Canis lupus familiaris: one gene and its partners. The protein of the gene in region 3 purifies or fractionates together with the protein of the main gene of each other region. This does not show direct contact. Links are inferred from orthologs where the notes say so. Each region holds a gene or a part of one and is shown on either strand. Other genes may lie near its edges.

What was found.
Region 1: the proteins of CHEK1 (region 3) and HAX1 purify together in Homo sapiens (affinity purification with mass spectrometry; 3 studies listed by BioGRID and IntAct, with this or other methods). This does not show direct contact. The link is inferred for Canis lupus familiaris from reciprocal best matches to the Homo sapiens genes CHEK1 and HAX1.
Region 2: the proteins of CHEK1 (region 3) and CUL1 purify together in Homo sapiens (affinity purification with western blotting; 6 studies listed by BioGRID and IntAct, with this or other methods). This does not show direct contact. The link is inferred for Canis lupus familiaris from reciprocal best matches to the Homo sapiens genes CHEK1 and CUL1.
Region 4: the proteins of CHEK1 (region 3) and CUL4A purify together in Homo sapiens (affinity purification with western blotting; 4 studies listed by BioGRID). This does not show direct contact. The link is inferred for Canis lupus familiaris from reciprocal best matches to the Homo sapiens genes CHEK1 and CUL4A.

What each region holds. Positions count from the first base shown.
Region 1 is NC_049228.1:42,955,321-42,963,399, forward strand, and holds HAX1 (HCLS1-associated protein X-1), read right to left. Parts: upstream 4,031-8,079; 5' UTR 3,923-4,030; coding exon 3,870-3,922; intron 3,804-3,869; exon of another isoform or gene 3,658-3,803; intron 3,405-3,657; coding exon 3,106-3,404; intron 2,976-3,105; coding exon 2,782-2,975; intron 1,910-2,781; coding exon 1,858-1,909; intron 1,731-1,857; coding exon 1,624-1,730; intron 1,499-1,623; coding exon 1,408-1,498; intron 1,260-1,407; coding exon 1,174-1,259; 3' UTR 1,007-1,173; downstream 1-1,006. Other genes in the region: UBAP2L (ubiquitin-associated protein 2-like), read right to left, coding at 5,388-5,483, 6,304-6,354, 6,749-6,946, 7,685-7,752. UniProt on the Homo sapiens protein: Recruits the Arp2/3 complex to the cell cortex and regulates reorganization of the cortical actin cytoskeleton via its interaction with KCNC3 and the Arp2/3 complex. Slows down the rate of inactivation of KCNC3 channels. Promotes GNA13-mediated cell migration.
Region 2 is NC_049237.1:1,657,651-1,664,931, reverse strand, and holds part of CUL1 (cullin-1), read left to right. Parts: intron 1-941; coding exon 942-1,049; intron 1,050-1,129; coding exon 1,130-1,236; intron 1,237-3,741; coding exon 3,742-3,790; intron 3,791-4,153; coding exon 4,154-4,285; intron 4,286-5,487; coding exon 5,488-5,605; intron 5,606-6,740; coding exon 6,741-6,817; intron 6,818-7,147; coding exon 7,148-7,279; intron 7,280-7,281. UniProt on the Homo sapiens protein: Core component of multiple cullin-RING-based SCF (SKP1-CUL1-F-box protein) E3 ubiquitin-protein ligase complexes, which mediate the ubiquitination of proteins involved in cell cycle progression, signal transduction and transcription.
Region 3 is NC_049226.1:8,896,547-8,903,827, forward strand, and holds the end of CHEK1 (serine/threonine-protein kinase Chk1), read right to left. Parts: intron 6,480-7,281; coding exon 6,371-6,479; intron 6,185-6,370; coding exon 6,007-6,184; intron 5,745-6,006; coding exon 5,613-5,744; intron 2,927-5,612; coding exon 2,825-2,926; intron 1,616-2,824; coding exon 1,520-1,615; 3' UTR 742-1,519; downstream 1-741. UniProt on the Homo sapiens protein: Serine/threonine-protein kinase which is required for checkpoint-mediated cell cycle arrest and activation of DNA repair in response to the presence of DNA damage or unreplicated DNA.
Region 4 is NC_049243.1:60,779,138-60,787,170, reverse strand, and holds the start of CUL4A (cullin-4A), read right to left. Parts: upstream 5,305-8,033; 5' UTR 5,288-5,304; coding exon 5,134-5,287; intron 4,644-5,133; coding exon 4,528-4,643; intron 3,872-4,527; exon of another isoform or gene 1,412-3,871; intron 675-1,411; exon of another isoform or gene 553-674; intron 1-552. Other genes in the region: PCID2 (PCI domain-containing protein 2), read left to right, coding at 5,823-5,858. UniProt on the Homo sapiens protein: Core component of multiple cullin-RING-based E3 ubiquitin-protein ligase complexes which mediate the ubiquitination of target proteins. As a scaffold protein may contribute to catalysis through positioning of the substrate and the ubiquitin-conjugating enzyme.

The DNA of each region.
Region 1 (8,079 bases), on a different chromosome or scaffold from region 3:
GAGAAATATAAACAACTTCTTGGGTAATAAATCAACTTCTGTTCACATAAAGATATAATAAAGAGAAAAGACAAAATTTCATGATTATATCTCTTTGTTCTTATGATTTGCTTCCTTAGAAAAATCCCTTTATTGTCATTTTAGTGAAATTTCAAGAAAACAGAGGTAAACAAATGTTTAAGATCTGCCACTATAAACCACAGTGCTAAAGTTTTGTTTTTGTTTAAAGGTTTATTATTTGAGAAAGAGAGAGAGAGACTGAGCAGGGGGGTAGAGTGGGGAAAGAGTGGGAAGGAAAAAAAAAGAGTGGGAAGGAGATGGACAAGCAGACTCGAGCTCAGCATGGAGCCTGATGCAGGGCTCAGTCTCATGACTGAGATCATGACCTGAGCTGAAACCAAAAGTTGGATGCTCAACCGACTGAGCCACCTAGGTGCTCTTAAGAATTTCTTTAATGAGAAAAAAAAAATCTAGCAACGTTTGTCCTAGTTATATTTTCTCCAACATACATGGGGCGGGGCGGGGGGGGGAATACATACCCACTAAAGGAAAAAATATTTGCCAATGTATTTCATCAAATTACCTCGTGAAATGTCCGATCATAGTGATCCCACACCTGGGGAAGCAGGTGTCCCTACATTTCCACACACACTTCCGCTTGTTAGACTCTAATGCATCCCTGTGTAAATTTTCCTGGAATTGTCTCTAGGTATCTCCTCCATAAGAATACTCATTTTCTACCAGTACCTGACCAAATTATCCTGATTATCCTGACCAAATTAACCTGATTATCAAATCAGGGTTGGGAAGCAGAACAAAAAATTAAGAAGTAAGAATACTGTGGGCCAAAATAATCTGGGAAGCCCTGGATGGTACTACAAAGTAGAAGAGCCTCCACTCACCCCGCGCAGCAGGCGGGTCCCGCCGACTGGAGAGAGCTTGGGAGGCCTTTAAAAAAAAGGGGGGGGGGGGGAAGAACAGCCTAGACAAAACTAAGACCAAGGAGTTAGCATAAATAAAGGTTTTATTGGTCAGTTTAGGTGAGTCACATACTGACATACCCCCAACTCACTGTTCCATACACCCAAGACCCTGAGGTGGCAGGAGAAGCTAAGCCCACTGACAGTGAGCGAAGGGTGGAAAGGATCTGAAGGCCTCTGAGGGTTAACAAGGCTACCGGGACCGGAACCAACGTCCTAGAAATAAATCCAGGATGGAATAGGCATCATCCAGGGCTGGAGGTGTTGGTGATTCTGGATCTAAGGAGAAAGTGATACATACAGACACACTAAATGAAAAAGAATGGGCAGTGGACAAGGAGAAGAATATCAAAGGCTGAAAAAGTATGTGTGTTTTTTGCCCAAGGAAATAAGAGATGGACCTTTTTGATTCACAAACTTTACTTACCATCTCTAGGACTGCCATCTGCTTCTTGATGGGTTACTGTGGTCTCTGTCCGGCCCTCACTATCCACCACAGTCCGGCGCTCCTCTACTGTCTACAAGGAGAGACCCCAACCATATCTCTAAGATCAATAGAAGTGAGCTCACTGGTTTCTTTATATAGATTGCTCTTCCATGGCATCCTCTGGCCACATTTCCCTTTACTCCTCTTCCAACTCACCCCATCTGGCTTAGTGATCTTAGTCACCGTGACACTCTTGAAATAGGATTTGGGCTGGGGCTGCAGAACTGGGCCGAGGCCTTCCTGGGAAACCTGCGAATCAAGATCTAGAAGGGCAGAGAGGAAACACGAAATCAAAAGTCCAAAGGAAAAGAAGGGGCCAAGTGTGACAAGAAGAAATGTAAGGGAGAGAGAACAAAGGGTACGTTAAATGTCCCCTCCCTCCAGACTCACCATTGTCTTCTCTGGCTCTAGAACGGGGGGTCACAGGCCACATATCATCAAACTGTAGAAGGCAAAATAGGTGAAATGATACCTTTCAATCTGAAACTTGAGAGGTCACAGAATCCAAAATATTCCTAAGTTCCGTAACTACTTTTCCCCTGGGACAGAGGATTCCACTCAGGATAGCTTTATTTACTCACCCCTTTCTCTGTCCTACCCGTTCAATCTATCTTTCCACCAAAAGGCTCTCCTCAACTGACACTCTATCCTATCCAACAATCCGTCTTGTCCCAGAATCATACAGACTGGTGATTTTTTTTTAAGGTTTTACGCATTTGAGAGAGACAGGGAGTACAGGAGGGGCTGAGGGAAAGGGAGAAACAGACTCCCCACAGAGCAGGGAGCCCAATGTGGGGCTGGATCTCAGGACTCTGGGATCACGTCCCTGCATGGAGCCTGCTTCTCCCTCTGCCTGTGTCTCTGCTTCTCTCTCTCTGTCTCTCATGAATAAATGAATAAAATCTTTAAAAAAAGTTATATGGCAGCCCGGGTGGCTCAGCGGTTTAGCGCCGCCTTCAGCCCGGGGCGTGATCCTGGAGATCCAGGATCAAGTCCCGCATCGGGCTCCCTGCATGGAGCCTTCTTCTCCGTCTGCCTGTGTCTCTGCCTCTATCTCTCTCTCAGGAATAAATAAATAAAATAAACCTTTTTTTAAAAAGTCATAAAAAAAAATAGAGAAAAAAGCTGAACTCCCACCCTCATGCGCCCCCTCCGCCCAATCCTACAAGGAGCTTAATAGAGAAAACAGATAAATACACTAGACAGTGGAGAACCTAGGATCCCAACCCAACTTTGCTAGATTCTGACAAGCTCCAGTCTGTGCTTTATTAGTTACCTCCTGCAGGCTCTCACTTGGGGCCCAGAAGCACTCACCAGACCAAAAGGTCTCTGGGAGCCCCAGTCTGGTGCTGGTTTGGAGGATTCACTTCTTGTATCACTCTCCAAGACCCCCCCAAAGATCCTGGGCTGGTGACTATCTGGATACTTAAGCATTGAGTCCCGAAGTGTCTGTCCCTCCCGTCGTCTCTCACCAGGTGTCTCTGATTCAGGACCAGGACCTGGAAGTTCTGGGAAAAGGGGGCAGATGGATGCTGGGGGGGGGAGAGGACCTGGGCTCCTCACAGCCTTGATATTATCATTCTTCTCACACTTCCCACCCCCACTACTCTCTTCAGGCTCCTGGCTTCACCCACTAACCCAGGAGAAACCAGAGGTGCTCCAGGGGCAGCCACACACCAGAAGGCCGGGAAGGCAAGGTCCAGGCCTCCATCTCGCTGAAGATGTTATTAAAATCACGAATCAGGTCATCAAAGCCGAAGTTATCATGGAAACGCATCCCTCCTGGAGTGAAGGTGAAGCCAAAGCCAAATTCCTCCGGGGTCTGGGGACCCTCAGACCTCGAGCTCCCATGGCTCCACGGGGCTGCTTCTTCCTCCTCTTCCTCATCGTCCTCATCTTCATCTCGAGTCATCCCTCCAAAAAAGGGATCTCTGTGGCTGGGAGTGAAGGTAGATTGAGCACCAGAATCTCAGCCACACCTTCGGCCGCACAATCAGCTCCGGGTGGCCGAGGAGCCAAGGGCAGAGGTCTGCGCACCGAGGTGCGGGAGTGAGGCTGGCGGGGCGCCGTCGGGGTTCCGTCTGTGTCAGGGTCGGTCCTCACCTCGCGGGCAGGCCGTGCCCCCGCCCCCCGCGCCCCACCCCCGCCCGGCCCCCACTGTTTCTCCCGCCCAGGCCCCTGTTGCATCACCCCAGACTGGAGAAAGGCTTAAACTGCGGTTAGTCCTCCTCTCAGCGGCCGCCCAGGTGACCGCCGCGGGGCGAGTGCGCAGTGTGCTGACTTCTGTCCTCTCCGCAGCTGGTGAAGGAGTGACGAAGAGGACGGCTTCCCAAGAACTGGGTGTCAGAGATCAAGCTCCCCTCAGGAGACCCCACCCTCGTCCGACCCCGACCCACTCTAACCTCCGAGGTCCAGAAAGGCCGAAAAAGCCCCGAAAGAGATCAAAGAAGCTCATCCCCGTTTTGGGACTCGAACCTGCAGACCCCACCGAGGCCCATTCGCACCTGGCCGCAGCTGCACTCCGCCGCCGGAAGTTGAGAGCAGCGTCGGGCCGCCTGCCGGAAAGCAGGCAGGCGGCGCGGCACGCTGTCGTAACACGACCGTCTGCTCGGCGCAGGCGGCGCGGGGCGCCGCCCGGTCCCGAGCCGCACCCCCTGCCCGCGAAGGGAGCGGGCGAGGGCCCGGAACCCTAAGCCGCCTTCCTGCCCGGGACCGGCCGCCGCCGCCAGGGGGCAGCCTCCGCCCAGCGAGCCGGTGCGGCAGGTGCTCCAGGCTCGGCGTTTGAATCCACGGGTCGGTTGGGGATGCTCGGACTTGGCGCTCCCCGGCCAACGGGCATGCGGTGACCGTGACCGATACTAGCTGCCCTAGGCAGGCTCTGCAGCCTGCAGGCACAGGCTTGGCAAGAGAGCCGGGGAAATCCCGTAAGCTTTGCCGGGGGAGGAGTTTGGAGCTGTAAGTAACCCTCTGCCTGCCCCCTGACTTTCAAGCCTTTCCTTTCCTGCGCCCCCACCCTCCCTGCACCCCGGCCCTGGTCTCCTGACCCCTCCTTTTCAAGGGGCCGGCAGCACTCAAGAAGCAGGAACTGCATGCCCCCCCACCATTGTCCTGGACCATCTACAGTACACGACCGCTCCCCAAACCCACTCTCCAGCTTTCTACCCTGTGTCTGCTGTCCATTCCTGTCACAGCCTGAAATCTGCAGAGGAAGCAGCTTCTGGAGGAAATGAAAATTTGCAGCAGCTCCTTCTAGGCTGTGAAGCCCCTGGGGAAGGAGGAGAGGGAATCCCAGCAGGGCAGGTGAAGGCAGAAGCTCTCTTTATTCTGGGGCCTCCAGAGCCTGCCAGGGGCCCAGCTGGAACGGAATATTCATTCACCGAGCTGGCTGACCAGACTGTCTTAGAATGAGCAAGAACGGGCAGAGGCTGAAGGTAGAGGTTTTCTTTTTATATATACAAGACACATTAATCCATTAAATTCGAGGACACAGTACAAAAAAAAAACACTTCAACTAATTCATCTGACAATGCTGTTCATATTCATGACGCCATTTTGTTGTTGTTTTGTTTCCTAATAATAAAGGAGGAGACGTAGGGCTGTTGGGCTGATATATATTTGGGGGTCCCCCTGCCCCACCTCACCTATACACCACCAGGGTGAACAGGAGGAGAAGGAAGGCGGGGCCCACAGCAAAGTTTCATAATCTTGAATGCAAGGGGGGAGGAGGAGAGGAAAGGGGGAAAAAAAAGGAGAAAATACAAATCCTATAATACATACAACAGAGTAGGGGTGGTATGGGGACGGGACAGACATGAAGCTGAGGCATAGGGTGGGACACTGGAGGTAGGGGCAGCGGAACCCCCCCTTCCTCTCTCTCTGATGCCGTTTCCGTGGTTGCCGGGCAGGAGGGGGGTCAGGCCTCAGTTAGCCCCCCAGCTGTAGCTGTTGTAGGCAGACTTGTTGGTCTGGGGCTTCTGCGGGATGGAGCTGGTCTGGCTACGTTGCCCGCTGCCCGTCTGCAGGGAATGGGATGATGAGGAGGAGGAAAAAGGTGTCTGGTTAGTGGGACAAATCTGTGACATCTGCAGGTAGAGCTCTGGAAACTGTCTTGCTCTCCCACTCCCCTTGCTTAGAAATGACTCTGAAGTTTACTTCCCCACCACAGAAAATTTGGTTTCTATAGGTGCTAGAGGACCTGTGACATGGAAGAGAGCATTTTCAAGCTTTGAACAGGGGAACAACATAAAGACGGCAGAATACCTTTTGGAGACAAGACAGTGAATGAGTTCTCCCCACTTTCAATTCCACTTTCTCCCTCCACTCCCACCTACACTGCTCTGAGAAAAGGCTCTCTCTCTCTAGAGAGAATCACAGCCTCTTGGAGAGGAGTGATCACACGGAGATTTCATTTTCATCAATCCCATGAATACCTCAATTTGGAAAGCTGTCTTATCCCAGCTCCTCAGCCACCTGTGATGGAGGAGAGGTCACTTGTACCACCCCAAGCTCCCCACCCCTACCACAGAGCACAGCTGAGAGCCCACTGCAGGTGAGGTAGGAGAGACAGTCTGAGGCCCCAGGCTCCAGAGGCTGCCCCAAGAATCCTTTCCATTCCAGTAACCAAGTGCTTCCAGAGTCAGGGAAGGGCAGAAAGAAAGAGGGCGCTGGGGAGGGAGGACAAGAGAGGAATGGGAGGCCAGAGAGCTCAGCGAGGTGTCTGTGTTTGTGTGTCCTGATCTGTGACCGTGCAGCCTTTCCAAGTTCCCTGACGCTGTGGAGGTGAAATGGGGGCTGGAAAGGAGTGGGTTCAAGCACATCATCATTCAGTTTCATTACCTGCTCCTCCTGCTGGCGCTGGCAACAGAGAATCATCTGCAAATATGGTAGCTGAGGCAGAACCAGGATATATGGAAAATAAAGGGACAAACTTTGACAATAGAACTCCACCATTAGAAGGGAAAGCTACAATGTCAGGGAATGGGGGAGGCTGGGAGAGGTTGGAGGGGAGGCGTGACCCAGGTCTGATGGGATGAGGCAGCTGTGTTATAGGAGGCAGAAGAGAAAGGCCCCAAAGGAAATTTCAGCCTGGCCCCTTCTCTGACATCTCCTCTGCCGGCAGCTGGTGTTATGTGCACTTGTGTGTGTATGTGCTGTGTGCCCATGGCTGGCGCTGGGAGGGGTAGGTGAAGGTGGTTGTGAGGAAGGGTAAGAGAAGGAAAGGGAGGCAGTTGTAGGGGACAGGAAGGAAGAGGAAGGGAGAGGAGAGGGGGAGGGCTATTACCTGGCCATCCTGCTGCAGGTGATGGTGGAGGATCTGGGAGTGCGGCTGCTGATGGGGGGTCAGAATGTGCATAAAGGGGGCAGGTGGGTAGGCAGCAGCTGTGGCCGGATTGATGGGCCCCCCACTTCCTAGGGCTGAAGGCAAGTTGAAGGAGGCAGCAGGAGTACCGGAATGAAAACCTTGTTTCTCAAAGGACTGCTATCCAGAGGGATGGGGAGAGACAGTAAAAGGGGTCAGCAAACCAAGCCCTGGAGTTTCAGAGCCCAAGTCCCCCACCCCCCAAGAGCAGTATGCAGCAGAACAGCAGCACTAAAGGCACGTGAGCGGGTCTGCTCTGTTCTCCAAGGGCTGTGGGATCCTGAGAGAAGTACTCACTCATTCTGATCTTTGCTCACACATAACCCAGGGGTGCTGACTCCCAGCTGTCAGCACAGCAGGAGAGGACAGCTGTGAGCGTGCTCTGGGACTCTACCATCACAAACCACCCCCACCGTGCAGCTCGGGCATCCTGGTGGCAAAGGTCTCGGTCACCAAGTGCTCCACCATAACTCCGAACACTGCATGTATCAGGCTTAATAGTTCAGATGCACTCTTCCGTTCCCACCTTTTGTTTTTACAAAGAACGGAACTAGTTTCCCTTCATTCCATTCTCTTGGAAAGTTGCAAAAAGGCTGGTGGTATGGAAAGAAAGGACAGTTGCCACAGTAAGTCTCAAGACACATCACAGCCACCTGCCACGCCTTACCTTCCTGGCACACTTCTCTTGCCTTTCTCAGAGAGCTAAATTTAAAGTTCTTTGAGAAACTGAAATCTAGAGACCACTCATCTTCGAGGACAGGTTTCCTACACCTCTTGGGGTCGTGCTTGTTCACTGGACTTCTGTCACTGCAACACCACCTCCTCTATGCCCATCTCTTTCCACTTCTAGGCACCTACCTGGGTTTTGGAGTACACAGAACCCGAGATATCTGGCACGCCCGTGTTACTGGAGGTGACTGATACACCTGGGGGAGGAGGAAACAGACAGGAGGATTAGCTGGGCTCGCTGCTGGCCCCTCTCTAGACAAGGAGATGGCGTGTGCGGCCTTTCTAGTTACCACACTGCAAGGGGACTCTGGTCTGTTTTTCCAGCTCAGGTCAGCACCGAGAGAGATGAGAGCTCATGACCCAAATCTCTTGTCCTTTCCAGGTTATGTACTGAGAATGTATGTGAGAAAGTGAGCTGAGCTACTTTTTGTGGGGCAAGTGGATATAGCCAAATCTCACTAGCATATAGTTTTCAAAACACTTTTGTGCCAAAGCTGAAAAGAAATGTAATAAAATTTTAATGT
Region 2 (7,281 bases), on a different chromosome or scaffold from region 3:
TCCCAGCGACAGCCACTCTGTTTTTATCATTCAGGCCTGTCTCCCTTGACTCCCTACCCTCCTGGTCCTTCCTGTCTTCCTTGTGCATCCTTGCCAGAGTTTCTCCTGTGCTGATCTGGGCATTGTATTCCCATTATGTTGTTTCTTTGTCCAGAGCTCCTAATTGCCCATCCTGCCGAGTCCTCCAGTGCTCTGCCTGTCTCCCTGGCCCTGGCCTGTCCCATCCAGTCTTGCAACGCAGTCAGGTGTGCGAGTCAGACCTCTCGGCCTTGCCCGACCCACTTACACCCTTGCGTACTTCCTCGGACCTTGATCTTACCCTATTCTTTCTTTTTCTTTTTCTAAGATTGTATTTATTAGAGAGCACACGAGGGGAGGGGCAGAAGGAGAGGGACAAGCAGACTCCCTGCTGAGCAGGGAGCCTCACATGAGATTCGATCCCAGGACCCTGAGATCATGACCTAAGCTGAAGGCAGACACTTAATTTACTAAGCCACTTAGGCACCCCAATCTTACACTGTTCTTACATCACCTGCCCCCCTAAACTCTAAGTATCCAGCTGATTACTGATCATGCTAGCTGATTGGTTTTTCCAGCGAAGCCTAAAATTTGAATTTTTCAGAAAAAATGGGCCAAGCAAACTGTCACTTAAAAAAATTGTGTTTCCTGCAGTCCTTTGATTTTTCAAATAATTTAAAGAATCACTCTTTTTTATATAAGCTGGAAATCAGTACTTAATTTCAAGCACAGAGAATTTATTTTATTATGTATATAAGCAAAGTATCCTATGTGCTTTGATGATGGAACCAAAGCTATTTCTTGATCTTCTGTGTCAGCATCTTTGAAGAAATTTCTGAACCTTTCAGAATGTTTTATAGTAACACATGAATATATCATTTAATCCCCAGTAACAAACTTTTATCTGTTTTTCCCCTCCCAAGGACCCCAAGATGTATGTACAGACAGTGTTGGATGTTCATAAAAAATACAATGCCCTGGTAATGTCGGCATTCAACAACGATGCTGGTTTCGTGGCCGCACTTGACAAGGTGGGTGCGAGCACAGCGTCTTTGCTGCAGCGTGGGGGGGGGCCCACATGTTCTCTGACTGTGTTTTGTATGTCCCACAGGCCTGCGGTCGCTTCATTAACAACAATGCAGTTACCAAAATGGCCCAATCGTCCAGTAAATCCCCTGAGTTGCTGGCTCGATACTGTGACTCCTTGTTGAAGAAAAGGTATTAGTGACTTTGTAGGGATTTTTTTGTTAGTAAATCTATTTAAAGTCTCTGCTTATATATGAGAACTAACTTCCTGTTATATTTTACATATTTTAGATTGTCATCTTTGTACCTTTTGAGAAAACACTTTAAACCAAATACATCTTCTTTGTCTCCTTAAAAGATACTTCATGTTATAAATTCTAGTGGGTTTTTATTGTGGGTTTTTGTTTTTTTTTAATGTTACTGTGGGCTTTGAGAATTATAGAATTTATTTAGCTAAATGAAGTTCACAGGTTGGTCAAGCAGTGGTTACGAGGGTGGCAAGGAAGGAAGGAGTAAGTGTCCTTCTTGTACTCCCTGCGGATGTTCTGTGAGCCTCGGTCATGATGCCAGGGAAGATCTCCTGTGGGAGCTCCCACTGGCTGTTTTCTGAAACAAGACTTTCTGTGCACTCTGGCATTTGAATTATCGTGTGCACTTTTAACATTTATCTTCATGTGATCAATTCGTTTTACTGCTGTTTCGTATTCTTTGTGTATGTGTATATTTACATTTATATATTTTTAAAGATTGGGGCTTGAGCTCACAACCCTGAGATCGAGTCGCTCCCTACACCAGCTGAGCTAGCCAGGCGCCCTTCGTATTCTTTATTTATTTTTATTTTTTTAAAGATTTTATTTATTTATTCATGAGAGACAGAGAGAGAGAGAGAGAGAGGCAGAGACACAGGCAGAGGGAGAAGCAGGCTCCATGCAGGGAGCCCGATGTGGGACTTGATCCCGGGTCTCCAGGATCAAGCCCTGGGCTGAAGGCGGTGCTAAACTGCTGAGCTACCTGGGCTGCCCCCGTATTCTTTTTTTTTTTTTTTTTTTTTTTTTTTTAAACCATCATGTTTCTCACCTGTTCCTCCTCCTCTGTGTGTGTGTGTCTATTAAGAGCTAGAGGCCCCATGATCTCCTGTGGCTCTCTCCTCTGCGTTGTGCTTCTAGGGTTCCAGGTTGTGTGTATTTGGGTATTCTCAGCTTCTGTTTCAGTTTTCCAGCAATCCATCAACAAACGCAGTCATTTCCCATGCCCCCATGTTGTCCTGGTTTTGAGATGAATAAACATCTCTTAAAGGCTCACCTAACCCCACTGCAGAAAACACTGAGGATACCTACATGTACCAAGAAAAACACTGGAAACAAGTCCCAGAACAGAGTTGGGGAAATCCTAAGTAAAGTGTTAGCAGACTAAATTTATTAGAGAACTAAAGAATAATTCTCCAGAACATAGTATAGTGTCCTAGGAATGTAGGGATGGCTTGGTGGTAGCAAATTTAACGTAATTTACTATATTAACGGAAGTATATGTGGTCTTCCTGGCAGACGTGGGAAAACGTTTGATAATGTCACTAGCTGTCTCTCTGACTTTGCCAGAAAGCCATGTCCCCAAGGCTGGTGAAAATGGGGTATTTGGGGGTGGTTTTCTATTTATTGCAAGTCTGGTCAGTGTATAATTCAGCCGTTCTAGTCCGATCTTTTCTTGTAGTCCTTCGAGAATAAAAATGGACTTTAAAGTGGAATGCCTCCTCTGACCTGATTTCATTTTTTTTTAGGCTAGATTATATGAAAATTCTCAATATTTTATTTTATTTTTTTTTTTTTCAATATTTTAATAACATGCTTTAGCAGACCTTCAGTTTGGCAAAAAACTTATTATCCTTTTTATACGTTGCCTTTTCACAAGAGGCCCTCACCAAGTCTCTTGGTGTGTTGTTTCTTAGTTAATGCTGCCAAAGCAGACAGAATGGCAGACACATGCTAGGGTTGCTTCAGTGAGCACGCACTAGTGAGTGGAGCTAAGAAAGAAAACTCTTCCAGAGAGAAAAACCACCCTGGGCTACCTGTGTGAGGACTAGGACTGGATTTTCTTAGAAATACCTTTCCAGAGCTTGTTTGGTCATTTCATGTGCTGGATCATGAGCTGGATCATTTCATGTGAACTTATGGGGATCTTATCTATGAAGGACTCATAAAACCTTAAAAATTTCATTTACCCTAGAGTCACCTTTCAGTTAATACTTGTTCATAAAAGAGAAAGAATTAGTTGTTAAGGGCAGCCCTCTGTTACATAGAACCACAGAGGAAGGCAGTGCTTTAGTGGCTTTAAACAGTTTTGTTTTCTTTAATGCTTAGGCCATTAGAAATCTACATGTGCTTTTGGTTTTTTCAGAGTTAAATTAAAGCATATTATAGGAAGCAGTTGGCAAAGTAAAGTTCCTTTATTTTGTGTTTAGGTAGATTTCCTTTCAGAAACGAAAGGAAAGCTTGAATGTTCAGGGCAGACTTTAATAAGTATCCTCTGTTGATTTTCATCTTGCATGTCCAAAACGATTATTTCGTAAACATGTTCTTCCGTGATAGTTTCAGTGTAAGATTGCCACGTTGCCATAGGTGAGAAAAGTTTGGCTCAGTGGTACTTGCTGAGTAAATGTTTACTGATTTGTTTGAAAACAGTATACCTTTTTTTTTTTTCCAGTTCCAAGAATCCAGAAGAAGCAGAGCTAGAAGACACGCTCAACCAAGTGGTAAGGCGCTTCTTACTAATCACTCTGGTTTCCAGTAGCAGTTTATCTCCCAAGTTTTAAGGTTACTTGTATAGGGCATCTGAAATGTGAAAATTAATAGGATCATTTATTTTACTTCATATCTATGGTTTTACTCCCTAAATTGAGTCATTAATTTTAGCACTCGTACTTTCCTCATTAGTACTAAGTCTAGACCAACTTAATATGATTAAAGGGGTTGATGAAAATATTTCAAGACTGTGGATGGTATTTTTTTTTTACCACTGTAAACGTTGGCACACAGGCCAGTCAAAATAAAGCACCTGTGTCGGCTGCCGGCGTGTGTTTAGTGCATTAAATCTGCTCTCTTGGTGACTTCACTAGATGGTGGTCTTCAAGTATATAGAGGATAAAGACGTGTTTCAGAAATTCTACGCAAAGATGCTGGCCAAAAGACTCGTACATCAGAACAGTGCCAGTGATGATGCCGAGGCGAGCATGATCTCAAAATTAAAGGTAAATTTGATCATGTCCTGAGAAAAATCCAGTTTTTAAGTCATCGTGAAAGATCTTAGCTGTTGCAGGTTGTCAGTGGGCAGAGTCGCTAGTCTAGGTAACAAAGAGTTTGTATGGAATGAGCCCCGCTGCTCCGCTACAGGGGGGTTGTGACCGGTCAGGCCTCCCCTCCCTGTTTCACATGCTTTGCCAACCCATCCATGCTGCTCTTGGAGGGGCCTCCTGTCCCGTCAGACCCGGCTGTGCCGTGCTCACCACCGCAGCATCTCCTACTCCGCACATTCGTCCCCACTCTGTCTTCACACACCAGAACCACTCAGGGTGGCTCAGCCCACCTGCATGTGGTTGGCTTTGAGTTGGTTTGTGTTTGTTTTGCTCTGGGTTTAGTTCACTGTCTGCGATTGTACCTGCAGGAAGACAGCGTTTTACTTGATCGTTGAGCAGTTATTTCATTATCCAGCCACCTCTGCGCTGAGCTTGTGCCTGCTAACCTGTTGAGTGCTGTGATGTGTCTTAGACCTATTTCACTTCGACTGAAATTAGTTATGTGGGTATATTATTCTGCTCAAACTGCCGTAACAAAACACCATGGACTGGGGGCTTTAACACTAAAAATTTATTCTCCCAGTTCTGAAGGCTGGAAGTCCAAGATCCAGATGCTGGCTGATTCGCTTTCTGGTGAGGACTCTCTTCCCACCATGGTGACAGCCGCCTCCTCGCTGTGCTCCAATGTGGCGAGGAGCAAGAGCAGACTCTGGCCTCTTTTTACAAGGACCCTAATCCCATCAGGAGGGCTCTGTCCTCATGACTGCATCTGGCAATCATTTCTCCAAGACCCTACCTCCCAATACCATCACGCTGGGGGTTAGGGCTTCAGCATAGGAGTTTGGGGGACACAGAGTTCAGCCCCCCAGTAGTGGAATAGAGACATAAAATAGGTCATCTGTGTGTTCTGTTAGACATCCTTGCTCCTAGATGCTCAAATGAAAGTTACTGGGTGAAAAAGACTTAACTGCTTGGCTATGGCTATATTTTGGGCAGTGTATTAATTTGAATCTGTACATATTGACCCCGTGAGATGTGGTTCAGTGTTACTCCTAGCTTAGTAGCTCTCGTACAGTTGTATGACTTCCATCAGATTTCCTTGTATACACTTCTATTTCTGTAGAAATTAATAAGATGGTTATCTGGGTTCATTTCAGCAAGCTTGTGGTTTTGAATATACCTCTAAACTTCAGCGGATGTTTCAAGACATTGGCGTGAGCAAAGATTTGAATGAGCAATTCAAAAAGCACCTGACGAATTCAGAACCGCTAGACTGTGAGTATCCACGAGCGTGTGTAAGCTGCTTTTACGGGCAGTGTTCTCAGAGAAGTTCATGTCCTTTGTGGCAAACGAGAGAGATGACAAAATACTAAGGGTGGTCAGTGCATATCAGAAATTCCGGGACAGGCAAACAGGAAGCCCGGGATCCTCCTGACTCCTGTGTGTCGTTAGGAGATGGCAGGCACAGAGCATGTCAGCCTTTCCCAGGGGCCCCAGCGGCATGGCCATCCCACCCTGGGCAGCTACCAGCTCCGGGCTCCACACAGTTTAATATTTAGTAAATTTCTTTAACCTTAGTGTGGATCCATTCTAGCTTTCTCTCTCTCTCTCTCTCTCTCTATTTTATTTATTTATTTATTTATTTATTTATTTATTTATTAATTATGAGAAAGAGTTGCAGATGGCTGTGTGGATCACAGAGTCAGACTAACCTGAGATTTCGGCTCCAGGTTGGCATGGGGATGAGGCCCTACTGGGCGCCAGGCCACGCTCTTGTTGTCAGGTCCGCGGGGTGGCACCCGGCAGGTGATGCTGACATCATCATATGGTAGTATTGTCTTTTTAAGCAAAAAATGGGAATTTTACCTTTCCCCGAAACTGAAGAGCCATTCCACTGTTAAATGTGGCAGGGATGCCAGTGGATTCCTTAGCTATGTGATGATGCAGTTGTTGTTACAATTTACAGGTTAGGTATCATACGTAGTGGGTGTGTGTGTGTGTGTGTGTTTGCAGTTGTGCGTGCTGCACAGAACACCCTGGAGTGAGCCGCTGGCGCTTGAGGCTTCTGTTTCCTGAGTTTGGGCCCCGGTGCCAGCCGTGCTGGGCGAGCTCGGGGGCCTCAGTGGACCCAAGCAGAGCGGCCCTATGGTGTCCTCAGTCTGAGCTACAAGTGAAATGAAAGACTGCCTCTCTCTGTAGAAAAAGAGTTTCTGGCTCTTTCCACCTTTTACTAATTGTACTTGAGTGAAACAGTCTCACTGAAATATGGTCAGTTCTGCCGTTCATACCGCAGCAGGGTTTTTCAGTCAGTGTGTTTCCTTCCATGCAAAGCAGCCCACGTTGATTTGAGCAGCAGCATTGTTGGGTTTCTGAGACTAACTGTGTTCCCGCACTTTCATTCCCGCCCCAGTGGATTTCAGTATCCAAGTGCTAAGCTCCGGGTCGTGGCCCTTCCAGCAGTCTTGCACGTTTGCCTTGCCGTCAGAGGTAAGGGTGGGTTTGTCTCGCATCCTGTTAACTCTGAGCAGAGATGAGTGCAGGGGTGTGGAAAGGGTGCGGGGGGCGGTGTCTGCGGGCAGGTGCCGCTCACCCCAATGGCAACCTGCGGGCCTCACGTCCGGGATGGTTTTCGATGGCACCCTCAAATGCCCGAGTGCTTCACAGGAGTCAAGCACCGGATGTTTGCATTTCACTTCTATGTCACCAGCTTTTTGTGCTGTGACCCTGGAGCACTGTGTTTACTGAACGATGCTGTGCTGCGTGGTGAGGCAGACGCTCCTCACAACGCTGTGTGTCCTTTTGTATCCTCTGATCCAGCTGGAGCGCAGTTATCAGCGGTTCACAGCTTTCTACGCCAGCCGTCACAGCGGCCGGAAGCTGACTTGGTTATATCAACTGTCCAAAGGGGAACTGGTAACCAACTGCTTCAAAAATAGGTACACTTTGCAGGT
Region 3 (7,281 bases):
AGATAGGGACCAACAGCTGGTTTTGGTCACATGTTCACTATTAGTCAAGTGGAGATGTCAGCTTGGCTGGGTCTGTCAAGTCTGAAGCTCAAGGGGGGAGATCAAAGCTTAAGATAACTTTGTTTATGAGAGTTACTAATGATAATTTTCAAGAACAAAATTTTTCATATTTGAGAATTTACTAACTCAACCTTAGGAACCACCTAACCGTTCAAATTTTTTTCTCCTATGGTGTTAACACAATCACCAGTATAAACTAATAAGCGATAAACTCAAACCATAAAATTTCACCTTCTTAGGTTCAGACTAAGATGATCAATTTTATAAACTACCAAGAAAAAGGAATAGAGGTCCCAAACCTAATACATTCAAAAATTAATATAAAATTTTTTTAGGATTTTATTTATTTGAGAGCGAGATACACAGTGTGAGGGTGTGAGCAGGGGGAGCAGAGGGAGAGGGAGAAGCAGACTTTCTGATGAGCAGGAAGCCTGATGTGAGGCAAGATCTGGGACTCCAGGATCATGACCCGAACCTAAGCCAGATGCTTAATCAACTGAGCCACCCAGGAGACCCCAAAATTAATATAAATTTTATTAAAAGAACAGAGTCTTAGTAAATCTAATAGTAAAAGAATTAGGAATCAGATCTATTTCTCTCACAGCTTATTTACTTCTCCCTCCCTCTTTTATTCCTTACTACCTAGAAGCTTGGTTACCAAGAAGTCCACAGAGTTGGCTATTCATTTTCAAAATAGAATTTATTTCTGTAATAAAGAATTAAAATATGGCTGTGAAAGTAGAAAATAATATAGAAAAATATTTAAAATGTGCAATAGTAATTTTAGAGTAAAGGTAGTTAAGCATTAGAGTCCATGCTCAACTTCTACTTGAAAGACCAACCAGTATTTTATATATTAACTACACTGGAAAAAACATACCTAGCAATTTCAATTAACAGTTATACTCCAAAAACAGATTTATATACTTGGTAAGGCCCTTGTGAAAATATAAGTATAAATTTTGAGGATATATTTTTTGAAGTTGGCTTCACTTTATAGACTGATAAATCTACTGTCCAAAAGTCACAGGACTGCTTTTATTACTAATCCATCCATATAATTAAATCAACATAGAGGAAACACCTACTTTTTTGGATAAAACCAAATGTTCTGTTAACAATATGACAAGAATATCATCTTTCATTACAGTGGTATAAAAGTTGGTAAGTTCATGTATCCTCAAAGCTTGGTTTCCATTACATGGGTCTTTGGAAACTAAACACAGGATGAGAAATATCTAATGAATTCTATCCATCCATTCCCCAAAGCTTTACTTACAATGAAGATGTAAGGTATTGTTTGTATGAAGAACATACCAAAAAAATTCAAAGTGTTTGGCTAGAGGGAAGACAATTCTTCAGAGACTATTGTTTGCAGTTTGCAGAATAGGATAATCTTCTCTAGGAAGAATAATGTCAACATAGCAGCACTATATTCACCAGGAATCCAATGGATCTCTCATGTGGCAGGAAGCCAAACCTTCTGGCTGCTCACAACATCACTCAGCTTCCCTTTAATCTTCAGGAAGTGTCTCTTGAATTCTAATCCATCTCCCTATATTAGGAATAATATCCAAAAAATAATATCAAAAAAGAGACTGCCATAAAATCAAACTCTCTTTAGTGGCAAGTAGAGATAAACACCCTTAGATATGTCCAACTACAATTCCCTTCAAGTCCTCTTCTGAAGACTAAATATCCTAGAAGATATGGCTACATAAACAATTTCAACTTGATTTTGGGCCATCACTGTTCCCACCATACTGAGCGTAGAGAGGCAGAAACAATGGCATCTTATCTCTGTCCAGCATTGGTATCTATGTCTATGAACCTAAATCACTGTTTTCCATAGGTACTAGGGGTTTATAACCCAAAATTAAGCTACACAACTACATTGAAGTCTTGTCCAAATACTGTGGTAACAAAGCCAGTGATTCAGTTATGAGAAGAAATTCATTACACTAGGATCTTAATAATTTAATTTCATACTAAGCATCTGGACAATGCAGCAAATTTCCAATTTCAAAATGTGACCTAGTTCTCTAATCTCCTTTAGAACCATATACAGTATCTCAGGAAACATAGAGAACACTATTTTGCTCTTATATATCAAGGCCAAACTATAACCTCAGAACCAGTAATTTCTAAAGAAATAATCAGATATGTGAACAAGACTCTATGTATACAAATATTAATCACAGATTTACGTATGACAGATAAAGGTTAATTATATTGTACATTTTGACAAACATAATTGTTATTAAGATATATGTGGATTAAATAAGAAAAAGTTTAGAATGCTTTAAAATATTCAGGGTAATTACTGGTGGACAATATAACAGGATTATTTTTATTTTATTGTTACTTATTTACATTTTCTACAATAAAGCTTTTATAATAAGGAAAATGTCATTTGAAAAAAATCTGTATTTTAGAAGGATAATAACAAGAATGTTCAGAAAACTGAATGAGAAAAAGCAAGTTACCATATATTTACAAATGCCATGTATATACAAATATAATGCCATTAAAAAGAAATCTCTACATAAGAGCATTTCCATATAACACATACTAAAGAAGTAGTAAGACTACCATAATGAAATACAGTATAAAATCTCTCTATTCTCTCTGGATAAGTTTAAACTTGATTCTTATTTTATCCTTTATACATGTTTTCATATTTTTTAGGTTTCTTCAATGAACATGTAATACTTCTTTAATAACAGCAAAACAAATTTTTTTTAAAAAATGTTGTTTGACATACCTTAGAGAGCCGAAAGTCAACCAAGATCTTCTCATCCATTTCTACCAAATTCACTTTGAAAATCAGCTTATTGTTTCTCCTATCAGTTGTTGATACAGTAACCTAAGGCAATAAAAATAAGATTAGTGCAAATTACAAAAACATTTGTAAAACTTCTCATTTCAAGGAATGACCAAAAAAAATACACCAGTGTACCACAATTGTGCAACACTGGAACATAATGTTCTGGGAAAGAAGATGCTTAATACATATATTGCTGGTGGGAATCTGCAAAGGTGCAGCTGCTTTGGAAAACCACTTGGCAGCTCCTCAAAAAGTTAAACACAGATACTATATGCCTTAGTAATTCCATTAGCAAGTTATATACCTAAGAAATTGAAAACATATTGTTGTGAATTGAACTATGTCCCCTCAAAATTCATATGTTGAAGCCCTAGCCCCTCAGATTGTGACTGTATTTAAAGACTGGGCCTTTAAATAGGTAATAAGAGTTAAAATGAAACCACTTAGTGGGCTCTGATCCAATATGACTGATAGCTTTATAAGAAAAAAAAAAAAGTGCTGCCCGGGTTGCTCAGTGGTTTGGCACCTGCCTTTGGCCCAGGGCGTGATCCTAGAGACCTGGGATCAAGTCCCACGTGGGGCTCCCTGCATGGAGCTTGCTTCTCTCTCTGCCTATATCTCTGCCTCTCTTGAATAAATAAATTCTTTACAAAAAAAAAAATTTTAATAAAAAATTAGAATACAGAGAGAGAAAGATACCAGGTACACATGCACACAGAGGAAAGGCAAGATGAGGAGGCAGCAAGAGGCAGCATCTGAAAGCCATGAAGTGAGGCCTTAGAAGAAATCAATCCTGCCTGGGATGCCTGGGTGGCTCAGCAGTTCAGCATCTGCCTTTGGCTTAGGCCATGATCTCGGGTTCTGGGATCGAGTCCCACATCAGGCTCCCTGCATGGAGCCTGCTTCTCCTCTCTGCCTGTGTCTCTGCCTCTCTTTCTCTATGTATCTCTCATGAATGAATAAGTCAATAAATCCTCTTTTAAAAAAAGAAAAAGAAGTCAACCCTGCCGGCACCTTAATCTCAGACTTCAGTTTCTAGAATTGTGAGAAAATAAATTTCTGCTGTTTAAGCACCCAGTTTGGATATTTTGTTATGACAGCCCTGGCAGGCTAAAAACACATTAAGTTCATACAAAAAACTTGTACAAAAATGTTCTCAGCAGCATTATTCATAATAGACAAAAAGTAGAAACATCTCAAAAGTCCATTAACAAGTAAATGGATAAATAAAATATTCTATCCATATAATGTTGTATTCTATTATTCTCCCATAAAAAGGAATGAAGTACTGACAAATGTAAACAACATAGATTAACCTTGAAAACATTATGCTAAGTAAAAGATGACAGACACAAAAAGCCATTTATATAATTCCATTTATATGAAACATCCAGAATAGGCCATCTATAGGACAGAGAGTAAAGTGGCTGCCAGGAAATGAAGGGAAGAAAGAATAAGGAATGACTATTAATTCGTATGGAGTTTATTTTGGGGACGATGGAATGTTCTAGAATAAAATGACGATGGTACCACAATCTTGTGAATATACCAAAACCACTAAATTGTACACTTTAAAATAGCTAAAATGACGATTTTTAGGTTACCGTGAATTACATCTCAATATACCTACCTGATTAAAAAAAAAAAGTAAATTATCTACATAAGTGAGAGGAAAATCAGGCTGGTCTCAGATTTCTGCACAGTAACAATTTCCCCTAATTTTAATTTTGAAAGCTTACAAAGCTATTAAATAAATAAAAAAAAAACCCTGAAAGAATCACCAACTATATACCCTTTGTTGGTCTTATCAACCTAGATAAGTAGGTTTACTTGTCTTTTTTTTTCTTTTAGTTTTTCAAACAAGCTATACAAGACATACACTTCACTTCAACATGTTTCTCCTGTGAACAAAGATCCTCTTCTACAAAACTACAATATTATGATAACAACCAAGAAATTTGGCACTGATTCAAAAACATTATCTAATATAAAAACCATATTCAAATTTCCTCAATTGTTCCAATAATGTCTTTTATAGCTTTCACTTCTTTAAAACCATGATCTAGTAAAAGATCATGTCATTACATTATTTGTCAGGCCTCGTTAATACAGAATATTCGTCTAATTGTTTTTCATGCCATTAGGTTTTTGAAAAGCCTAAAGATGGACTAGAATTTCAGTATTACAAATATGCTATAATAATATAAAACAAAAATTGGTGGTGGGAGCAGGGGAGATAGAAGAAGTATGGGATTGTTAATGTATTCATCTTTCATAGAAGGTAATCTTTGTTACTCTTACAATTTAAGGACATACAGTTTTCAAGAACATGACTTGCGTCTCTTGATATTTTTTTTTTTTTTTTTTTTTTTTTTTTATTTATGATAGTCACAGAGAGAGAGAGAGAGAGAGAGAGGCAGAGACACAGGCAGAGGGAGAAGCAGGCTCCATGCACCGGGAGCCCGACGTGGGATTCGATCCCGGGTCTCCAGGATCGCGCCCTGGGCCAAAGGCAGGCGCCAAACCGCTGCGCCACCCAGGGATCCCGCGTCTCTTGATATTTTTAACAAACTTAAAGAAGACTTTCAATACTATTTCTTAAGGTAAGTAACATTTTACTTAAGTCTTTTAAATTCCAATTGCTTTTTTAAAAAATATATACTGATAATGATCATTTTTTACTCAAATATTTACATTTTTCTTCAGGAAAATCAATGAAACATACCTGATTCATACAACTCTTTTTCCACTGATAGCCCAATTTCTCACAAGTCTCTTTCAGGCATTGATAAGATTTGTCTGCATCCAATTTGGTAAAAAATCGTGTCATCCTTTTCACCAAGCGCTGCCAAGGGTTCTACATGTCAAACAGAGGAAACCTGAATAAATCTGGTATCACCAAAAGCAGTCATATCATAGCTATTGGGTCTGAAAATTTTTTTGTGTGACTAAAGATTCTTATATAGGAAAGCATCCTCTTATCTCTTCCTTAAAAAAAAATCTATATACGCACAATATTAATACTATATTTCTAAGATTTATACATTAAAACAAAAGCCTTTATGAGGAAAAAACTAGAAGTTTCTCATCATTTATTTGAAAAAACTAAATTCCCTTACCTGTGAGGATCCCGGGGTGCCAAGTAACTGACTATTCAGGAGCATATGATCAGGACATGTGGGTTGGGAAAAACTGATCCCTTGTACCAGCTTATCAATATATGAAGGGCTAGTGTCCCATACGGAAAGACCTGTCCGTGGTTCTGGCTGGGAACTGGAGTACTTCACATTTTCTTCACTGAGGCATTAAGATATGGGGAAAAATATATCTTTAGATAAAACCAATCAGGCCTTTCTTATATCACATTACCATTCTCACACTGATAAAAAATTACATTCATTATCAAGAAAAAATATATACATGCATTATTTTTATGGGAATATTACATACAATAATTATTTGGTCTTTATTGATTTATCTTACCTAGAGGCACTGTTCACTGGAGAGAAGTCCAAATTGGATTGAATGTGCTTAGAAAATCCACTAGGAGACTCTGATACACCACCTGAAGTGACTCGGGGCCTCTTTGCTCCTAAAAAAAGAAAACATAAATACAAATGTTTTTAAACCACATCTAAATCCATTTACTCAAAACAAAATAGTTATATGACAAATAGTGGCTCTCCATACATGATTGCATAAGAAATGTGGTCATCATAAACTTAGGAGGACTCCTGTGTCAAATTACACATTTCACAAATCCTGATTTGTATGTTGCCAGTGTGGGATTTCACAATAAAGTCATAATTTTATTTTATTTTTTTAAGATTTTATTTATTTGACAGAGATAGAGAGAGTGAACAAAAGCAGGAAAAGAGGCAGAGGGAGATGCAGGCTCCCTGCTAAGCAGGGAACCTGACACAGAGCTCAGGTGTCAGGACCAGGATCCAGAGATCATGACTAAGCTAAAGGCAGATGCTTAACCAACTGAGCCACCCAGGCACTCTCTCCCCTGGCAAAACTTTACTGAGAATAATTATTACAAAGAAAATGATGCCACTGTAACTTCTGTGGTTAATACCCTTAGCTGGATCCTCAATACTGATAGTCCTATGTTTTTCAGTCAGTTTCCTCTCCCTTTCTCCATAATGACTGCTTCAAAACTTCTACATTCTTATCAAATTCCCACAACCACCCACCCTCCAGTTCCTTATTACGTAGCACAGGATACCATCTCCCACTGCACAAAGAAAATAACGTCATTAGAAACTCCCTCAACTTGCCATTAATAAATCTGCCAATTTACTTGCATTGCGACTCATCCTTCCCTCCCTTCCATGCTCCCATCCAATGCCCATCCCTCTACTCATACCTGAACCCCATACCTTCCTATC
Region 4 (8,033 bases), on a different chromosome or scaffold from region 3:
GGTACAAATCTGGGTTTGTAAAAACAGACTGAAGAGATCCGTGCACTCAAAATATTCTCCTCCCAGCACCAGCACCATGAGAGAGTGACTGCGGGCGGTGTCTATGTGTGTGTTTGTGAAGACTTTCTCATCAGCACACTTTGAACCTCCCTCTCCACTAAATAAAAACAGAGTAACAGAGAAAACACAGGTGGACTGTCATGGACACACTGAAGCTCCAGGCAGGCCTCCTGCAGTGTCCAAACAGGCAAGGGACACTGTGATGGGGAGATGGGAAGACTAATCAACATCAAACTATCCTGAAAACTTTCTCAAAAAAACCAAAAACAAACAAAACCCTCAAAACACTTTTGCACTTTGCTAAAAAAATTGCTGCTTTCAGGCAAGATTCTTTGGCAAAGCATATACCACAGCACCTGAGCAAAAACTTAAGACTTTACTTTGAAACGAGTCAAAAGCACAGCCTACTTTATCACAGATCAGGATAAAGCAAGCAGTCAGTAACTACGCAATGACGTCACTTACTATTTCTATCCCGTTTGTTTCCAAAAGATCTGAGCTGTTGACTGCATAGTCCTGTCCTTGAACTCTGCTGGGTGAGTCCCCATGAGTGGACAAGAGCCACTTCCCAGGCCCCTTCCTCAATCACCTGACCCCGACTGGGCCCTTCTGAGGTAAGCACCCCTGGCCCTCAGGGTCTCAAGACACACACAGGGCCTTCACAATAATTTCTATGGTGACTATCGTAAGACATCCTGCAGGCTAATAGGTATGGCAAAATCATTCTACTAAGAAAAATCGTGGGCAATTGATACCAGATAGTCAAACCTCCAGGAAAAGGGGCATAATAAGCCCTAGCTGCAAGATATAATCTTTTATTAAACTAAAAACCTATGAGAGTTTAGACATTTGATGAAACTCCCGCTTCTGGTCAAGATTAAATAAAGGGACTAGACTAGCTCTTCTGCCTGAATTAACCAAAAACCATTCAAAATATACGAGGGGTGCCTGGGTGGCTCAGTCAGTTAGGCATCCAACTATATTGATTTTGGTTCAGGTCATGATCTTAGGGTTGTGAGATCGAGCCTAGCATCAGGCTCTACAGTGCACGTGGAGTCTGCCTTCAGCTCAGGTCATGATCCTGAGGTCCTGGGACTGAGCCCCACGTTGGGTTCCCTGCTCAGTAGGGAGTCTGCTTCTCCTTCTCCCTCTGCCCCTCCCCCTGCTTGTGCTCTCTTGGTGTCTCTCAAATAAATAAATCTTAAAACAAAAACAAAAACAAAAAAACAAAAAAACCCAAAAACAAAAAACCAGTTTTCAAAACACTGCACATTGGCCTATGGAAGACAAAGATCTCTGGGAGATGGGAAACAAGCCCCAACACTATGACTACCTACATCACTCTTTCCAGGCTGCAGAGCAGGTGCCTTGAGCTGAGGCTCAAGTCTCCAAGATGAAGGTCCAGAGGGAAGAGATGAGAGATGCATCTAGACAGGAGCTTGGAGATGAACGAGGAGCCCTCGTGGGTGCCCCTTGAGGATTCAGCAGAGCACTGACCTATATGTGAGGAAACGGTGAAGGCCAGGGAAAGAACCACCGAAAAAGTTTAGAGACAACAGTGTCTAGTGCCCAGAGAGAACCTGAAATAGCACATTTCCACAAGACATCAGGCACCTAATCTCATTCAGAAGATTGTCCCGCTCAATGGGGCTATTATTAACCCTGGACAAAATACTGCCCTAGTCCTAACAAATCTTAAAAGCAAGACTCTAAAAGATCAAACTGTTTCCAAATAATTTGTCTGCAATGAAGCTCAGAATATTTATAGAAATATAAAAATATCTATCGTAGTAATCAAAATTCATAATGTCTGATGATCAAAGATTATCCAACGGGTTAAGAAAAAACACACGACCCTTAGTGGGAAGAAAAAGCAGACAAATGTGGCCTGGAACTGACAGTAAAACAGCTATCATAAGTATATTCCCTATGTTTGGAAATTATGTAGTGACAAGGGAAGATACAGAAAAGATTCAAATTGAGCACCTGGACAGAAAACCAATGCACCAGAAAGAATTTCACCAGATGGCAGTCCTGGCAGATCAGACGTCACAGAAGATTAGTGAATCCAAAGAGATGAGTGACCTGAAGAGTTCTTTAGCCACTAAAGATATGTGCAGTTCACAAGCTCTCCACTAAGAAAGCCAAGATGGTTTCACTGGGAATTCTCTCAAACGTTTAAGGAAAAAAGAACACCAGTTCCATACAAACCCTTATAAGAAAGGAAAAAGAGGAAACATTTGCAACTCTGAGACAAATACACTACAAGAAAACAAGACAGCACTATTCTACGATCACAAATGCAAAAACTCATGAAATGTTAGCAAACTGAAACCAACAGTACATCAAAAATTCATACACCACTAGGCAAGTCAGATTTATCCAAGGACTGCTGGATGGTCTTACCAACTGAGACGTCAAACAATGCAAAGAACTAAAATAACAAAAGTCATATGATCATCTTAACAGTCATAAAAGAAGTCATCAAAATCCAACAGGTACTTCTGGTAATTTCTCAGCAAACTAGGAATGGAAAGGAGCTTCCTCAACCTGACAAATGGGTATTTTTAGAAAACAAAACAAAACAAAACACCACCAAAAAAATGCCCAACACTCAACATCATATTCAATGATGAAGGACCGAAGGCTTTTCCCACTAGGAGCAGGAGCTAAACAAGAGAGTGTGGGTTTACCACTTCTACTCACCACTGTTCTGGAGGTTCTGAGCAGTGCAGGGACACAAGACAGGAAATAAAAGGCATGCAGACTAGAAAGAAGTGAAACCACCTCTATTCATAGGTGATGTGATTGCTTAGGTAGAAAATCCCATGGAATCTACAAAAAGCTACTAGAAGCGAGGTCAGCAAGAGAGCAGGGTACTAGAGTGATACACAAAAAACAATTTCTATTTCTATATACTAGCAAGAACCAGAAATTAAAACTTATACCATACTACTGCTTGTAATACCACCAAACGTACGAAACGCTTAAGAGTATTTCATAGAAGATGTACAAGACCTACACACCAGAACCAGAAATCCTTACTGAGAAATCAAGGAAAAGCAAACAAAGCTGTGCCGTGTCATCAGTTGGCACGCCTGGTACCATCAAGACATCAACGTTCCCCACATTAATCTAGAATTTGACACAATCCTAATCAAAATGCTAGTAGGCTTTATTTTTTAGAAATTGGCAAACATCATAAAATTCATACGGAAATACAAAAGAACAGTACATGTGTACTCAAGTGAATAAAATTCCTTAAAAAATCGGATAATACCAAGTGTTAGCAAGAACATAGAAAAACGGAGCTCTCACGTACTGCTGCCCAGATACAAGATGGTATAGCCATTTTGAAAACAGAAAATGTCCTAAAGTCAAATGTACACTTGCCTTATGACTCTGAGACTACTTCTAGATATTTACCCATGTCCACATGAGACTTATTCCTTCAGGTTCAGAACAGCTTTATTCCTACCAACTGCAAACTGTCAGTTATCCTGGTGAAAGGCTGTAGCTGTACTCCCCAGCAACAAAGAAACAAACTACTGGAACTGGGTGCAGACAACTGCCCCACACAGGTTCCACCGATGAGACTTAAACTGGTCCAACAGACCAACAGCAAGGAAGTCAGTGATCCGCCAGGACCAGGTCAGGAGAACGAACTCTTTGAAGTGATGTAAATATTCTAGGGATCCCTGGGTGGCGCAGCGGTTTGGCGCCTGCCTTTGGCCCAGGGCGCGATCCTGGAGACCCGGGATCGAATCCCACATCGGGCTCCCGGTGCATGGAGCCTGCTTCTCCCTCTGCCTGTGTCTCTGCCTCTCTCTCTCTCTCTGTGTGACTATCCTAAATAAATAAAAATTTTTAAAAATGTTTTAAAAAAAATTCTGTATGTTACCATGATAACAGCATTTACACCTCAATATAAGTCACTAAAGTACAGGTTCTATGCAAATTATGCCTCAAAAAGTCGATCAAAAAATATAAACTCATACAAAGTTATTACAAAGAAGGGATGGATGTCCACCAAAATGCCAATAGCGGTCTTCCTTGAGTGGCGGGAGTACAGGTGGTTTTAATTTATTTTTGTCCTTTTTTGTGATGTCCATAGTTCTTACAACAAACAGTTATGCAAACAGAAAGTTTTAATTCCAATGTCTTCATAGAAACGGAGGTATCTATCACACGGTCATGCAAAATGTAGGTGGTAGGTAACGCACTAATCAACGAATGCTATTCTCTGAAAACCAGTTATCAGGAAAACCGGTCTGCTGATCAACGGAATACGTAAAGTAATGCTCCTTTTCCACAATTACGTTGGAAACGGAACATCTTCGGACGTAACAAAATCCGTTTCCGCGTCTTAACCGCAACGATCGGAAAATAAAGAGGAGGAGGGCCGCGTGGCCGTGCGGCAGCGACGGGGGGGAAGAGCGCCCGCGCGGGGTCCGCCTCGGCCCTCACCTGGTACAGCTCCTCCAGGTTGTACCTGATGGACGTGCTGCTCTGGATGGCTCGCACCGCCTCGTGGAGCTTCTGCCAGGTGTCCTGAGTGTAGTTGTCCGGCAGCCGCGGTCTGTCTGCGGGGCGGGGGCGGGGTGAGGGTCGGCGCCCCCGTCGCGCCCACGATCACGCTCACGGGCCCGCAGCCCCCCCGCTTCCCTTCCCGGAATGACCCAGTCCTGGGGGCCCCGGGCGCGGACCGGCCGCTGCGGGCCCCCGCTGCGTGGACGCCGGAGCCGGGACACAGCCGGGGCGCTTCCGGGGACCGGACACCCCTTCGCCGCCGCCCGCCAGGCGCCAGGCCCCAGGCCCCGGGACCCGCACTTCCGGCGGCCGGGGGCGCCCCCCCCCCCCGGGATTCCCTCTCCGTAGGACCGGCACTTCCGGCGGCCGGGAGCCCCCCCCGTCCCTCCCCCCCCCACCGGGAGCGGCACTTCCGGCGGCCGGAGGCGCCCCCTCCCCCCACCCCTGCGCCCCCCCGGGACCCCCTCTCCCCGGGACGGGCACTTCCGGCGGCCGGGGGCGCCCACCCCGCCCCGCCCCGCCGCCCCGCCGCCCCGCACCCACCTCGGAAATTCTTGATGACGAGCTTCTTGGAGCCGCCGGCGCCGCCCGGCTTGGAGGCCACGGCGGCCGCGGCCAGGGACGCGGGCTTGGTGAGGCCGTTGGTGTGCCCGACCAGCGCCGACAGGGCGCCCTTCCTGGGGGTCTCGTCGGCCATGGCGGCGGCCGGGAAGCAGCGGGCGCCCCGCCCCGTCCCGCCTCCCCGGCCGCGCGGGCGGGCGGGCCTCGCGTCAGCGCCGCCCCGGCCGCCCAACCGCCGCCCCGCCGGCCCGGCGCGACCCCGACCCCGACCCCGGCCCCGGCCCCGGCCCCCGCCCCGGCCCGCCCCCGCCCCCGCCCCGGGCCGCCCGGCGGCCGCCGCGCTCCTTGTGGAACGTATAACGGTCGAGGGGGGCGGCGGGGCCCAGCTTGCCCCGGGCGGGAGCCCAGGCACCCAGAGGGCGCGGACCGGGCGTCCTCGCCGGGAGGCGGTGGCGGATCGAAGCGCAGGCCGCGGCCTTCCTCAGCCCGGGCGCGCCGCCATCCCGGCCCGGGGCGCACGCTGCCGCGGACTCTCTTCCTCCGGAACCCGCGTGCGGGGGAGGCGGGCCTGGGGGGCGCGCAGGTCCGGACGGACCGGCGGCCGGAAGTGAGGCGGACGCAGCCGCGCGCGCAGGCCCCGCCCACGCCCACTTTCCGCGGGGGGTCCGGCCATGGCGCACATCACCATCAACCAGTACCTGCAGCAGGTGGGTACGCGGGGCCGGGGCGCGGGTGTGGGCCGGCGGGAGTCGATGCGAGAAGCTCCACCGGCGTCCGCTCGGGGGTGTGGCCGGGGGGGCGGTCCTCGGGGGCACCGTGAGGGCTTAGGGGCTCCTGTCGCCGCCGCCGCAGCCGCCGCCGCCGCCGCCCCCGCCCCGCCGCGGGCCTCGGGCCTCTCCTCTGACGGTGCCCGCGGGGTGGGCCTTTGAGAACCCGTTGGACTACAGGCCCTCGTTGGCGTCTTATGTGCGTCTTAAAGCCCTCGAGGGCTTGGGGAGGCGCAAGGGCGAGCCTGCCGGGCTCAGACCCGCGACCCCACGCCTCGAGTCCGGTCTCCGCCCGCCCTGCCGGGTCTGCCCCAGCTTCGGCCGCGCCCCTCGTTCCCGCGCCGGCGAGCTCTTACCGTGGTGCACGGCGGCCCCTAGTTCGCACTTTTCCTTGGAGGCGGTGCCGCGGCCGTCCAGGGGCAGCCGTTCCGACCCGAGCTTCTGGCCCCAGACGCCGAGCCTTTCCACGCAGCACTCCGGCCGGCAGCCTCGCCGCAGCCAGCCAGCGCTTTCGGTCCCAGGCAGACCCCCCCCAGATCTCGGGGTCGGAAGTGTCTCTTGAATCTTACTGACCCTGTGGGTTTGCACACGAGTCTGCTCCCTGTTTCGTACCTAACACATCCTGGGTCGGCAGCTGCCTGCGCACAGGTAGGTCTTTGTTGCCCCGGTCCCCGGGATTACTTCCCAGCAGCTCTCAGGTCAGGGCTTGCTTTGCTTTCACTCTCCCCGAAGCTTGCAGGTTCTCTTGTTGGTTCCTTGGATGCTCCTGGAACACACGCATTCCTGGCCAGAGACCAAGGGCTGGAGCTCAGCACAGCGGTGGTGTGGGGTCAGCCTGTCAGTGCCTGTGGGCCCGGAAGGGTGCCTGCACCTGCGTCAAAGAAGGCATCCACCCCTTGTGTGGCAGGTGACGAGCAAGCCTGCGTTTCGCTCAAGGGATGGGGGAGACATTGCTTCGCTGCTCAAAGGGACTAGCCACATCAACAGCCCTGAACAGCGGCCCAAGGGAAGAGCTAGTTGTCAGGGCCTTGTCTTCCCAGCGCTCACTTCCAGTTTGAGCAGCCCAGGGAGGGCTGTCCGTGCAGTGGTCGGCAGTCACTAGGCTGTCCCTGCCTCCCGTGAGGCCCTTTTTATTCAGTGCTTGGTGCTTCCACACGCCTCCAGTTTCTGTTTGGAGAGGACAGGTGGAGTTAATTTACTGTAACATTTTTTCTAATATTCTACTTTTAAAAATTGTTTTTAGTAAAAGATCGGTTTGTTTGTACAGCTCTCCCTTGAACAGTGTGGGGGTTAGGGACACTGACTCCCCCAAGCAGTTGGAAATAAGCCTATGACTTTTGGCTCACCAAAAGCTTAACCGATAGCCTACTGTTGGCCCAGAGCCTTACCAACCACAGAAAGGGTCAACTAGCCTGTGTTTTGTGTTGTGTTATCCACGACATTCTTATAGCCAAGCGAGAGAATGTTATCAAGAAAATGGTAAGGAGCAGAAAATACATTTACTGTGCCGTACAGTAAAGAGCCGTGGTGTGACCTGTCCATCAGGGGTCAGCTGCACTTTCCCCGCAACTGGGGCTCTTCAGTATTTCTGGGGTCTCTCTAAGGGCTGGTATTGTTTGGTGTTCTTCTTTCTTTGGTCTATTCTATAAACTCTTACCGCAAATGGCAAGTTACTTTTAAAAAACTATCTACATTTAAAATCGTAACTTTCGGGTAGTCCAGGTGGCTCAGCGGTTTAGCACTGCCTTCCGCCCAGGGCCTGATCTTGGAGGCCCGGGATGGAGTCCCACGTCGGGCTCCCTGCACGGAGCCTGCTTCTCCCTCTGCCTGTGTCTCTGCCTTTCTCTCTCTCTCTCTCTCATGAATAACTAAATAAAATCTTTAAAAAAAAATTGTAACTTTCCTCCAACTTTTTATTTTGAAAATTTTCTTTCTTTCTTCTCTTTTTTTTTTTTTAAGATTTTATTTAGTTATTCATGAGAGACCCGGAGAGGGAGAGGGAGAGAGAGAGAGAGGCAGAGACACAGGCAGAGGGAGAAGCAGGCTTCATGCAGGGAGCCTGATGTGGGATTCGATCCTGGGACTCCAGGATCACGCCCTGGGCCAAAGGCAGAC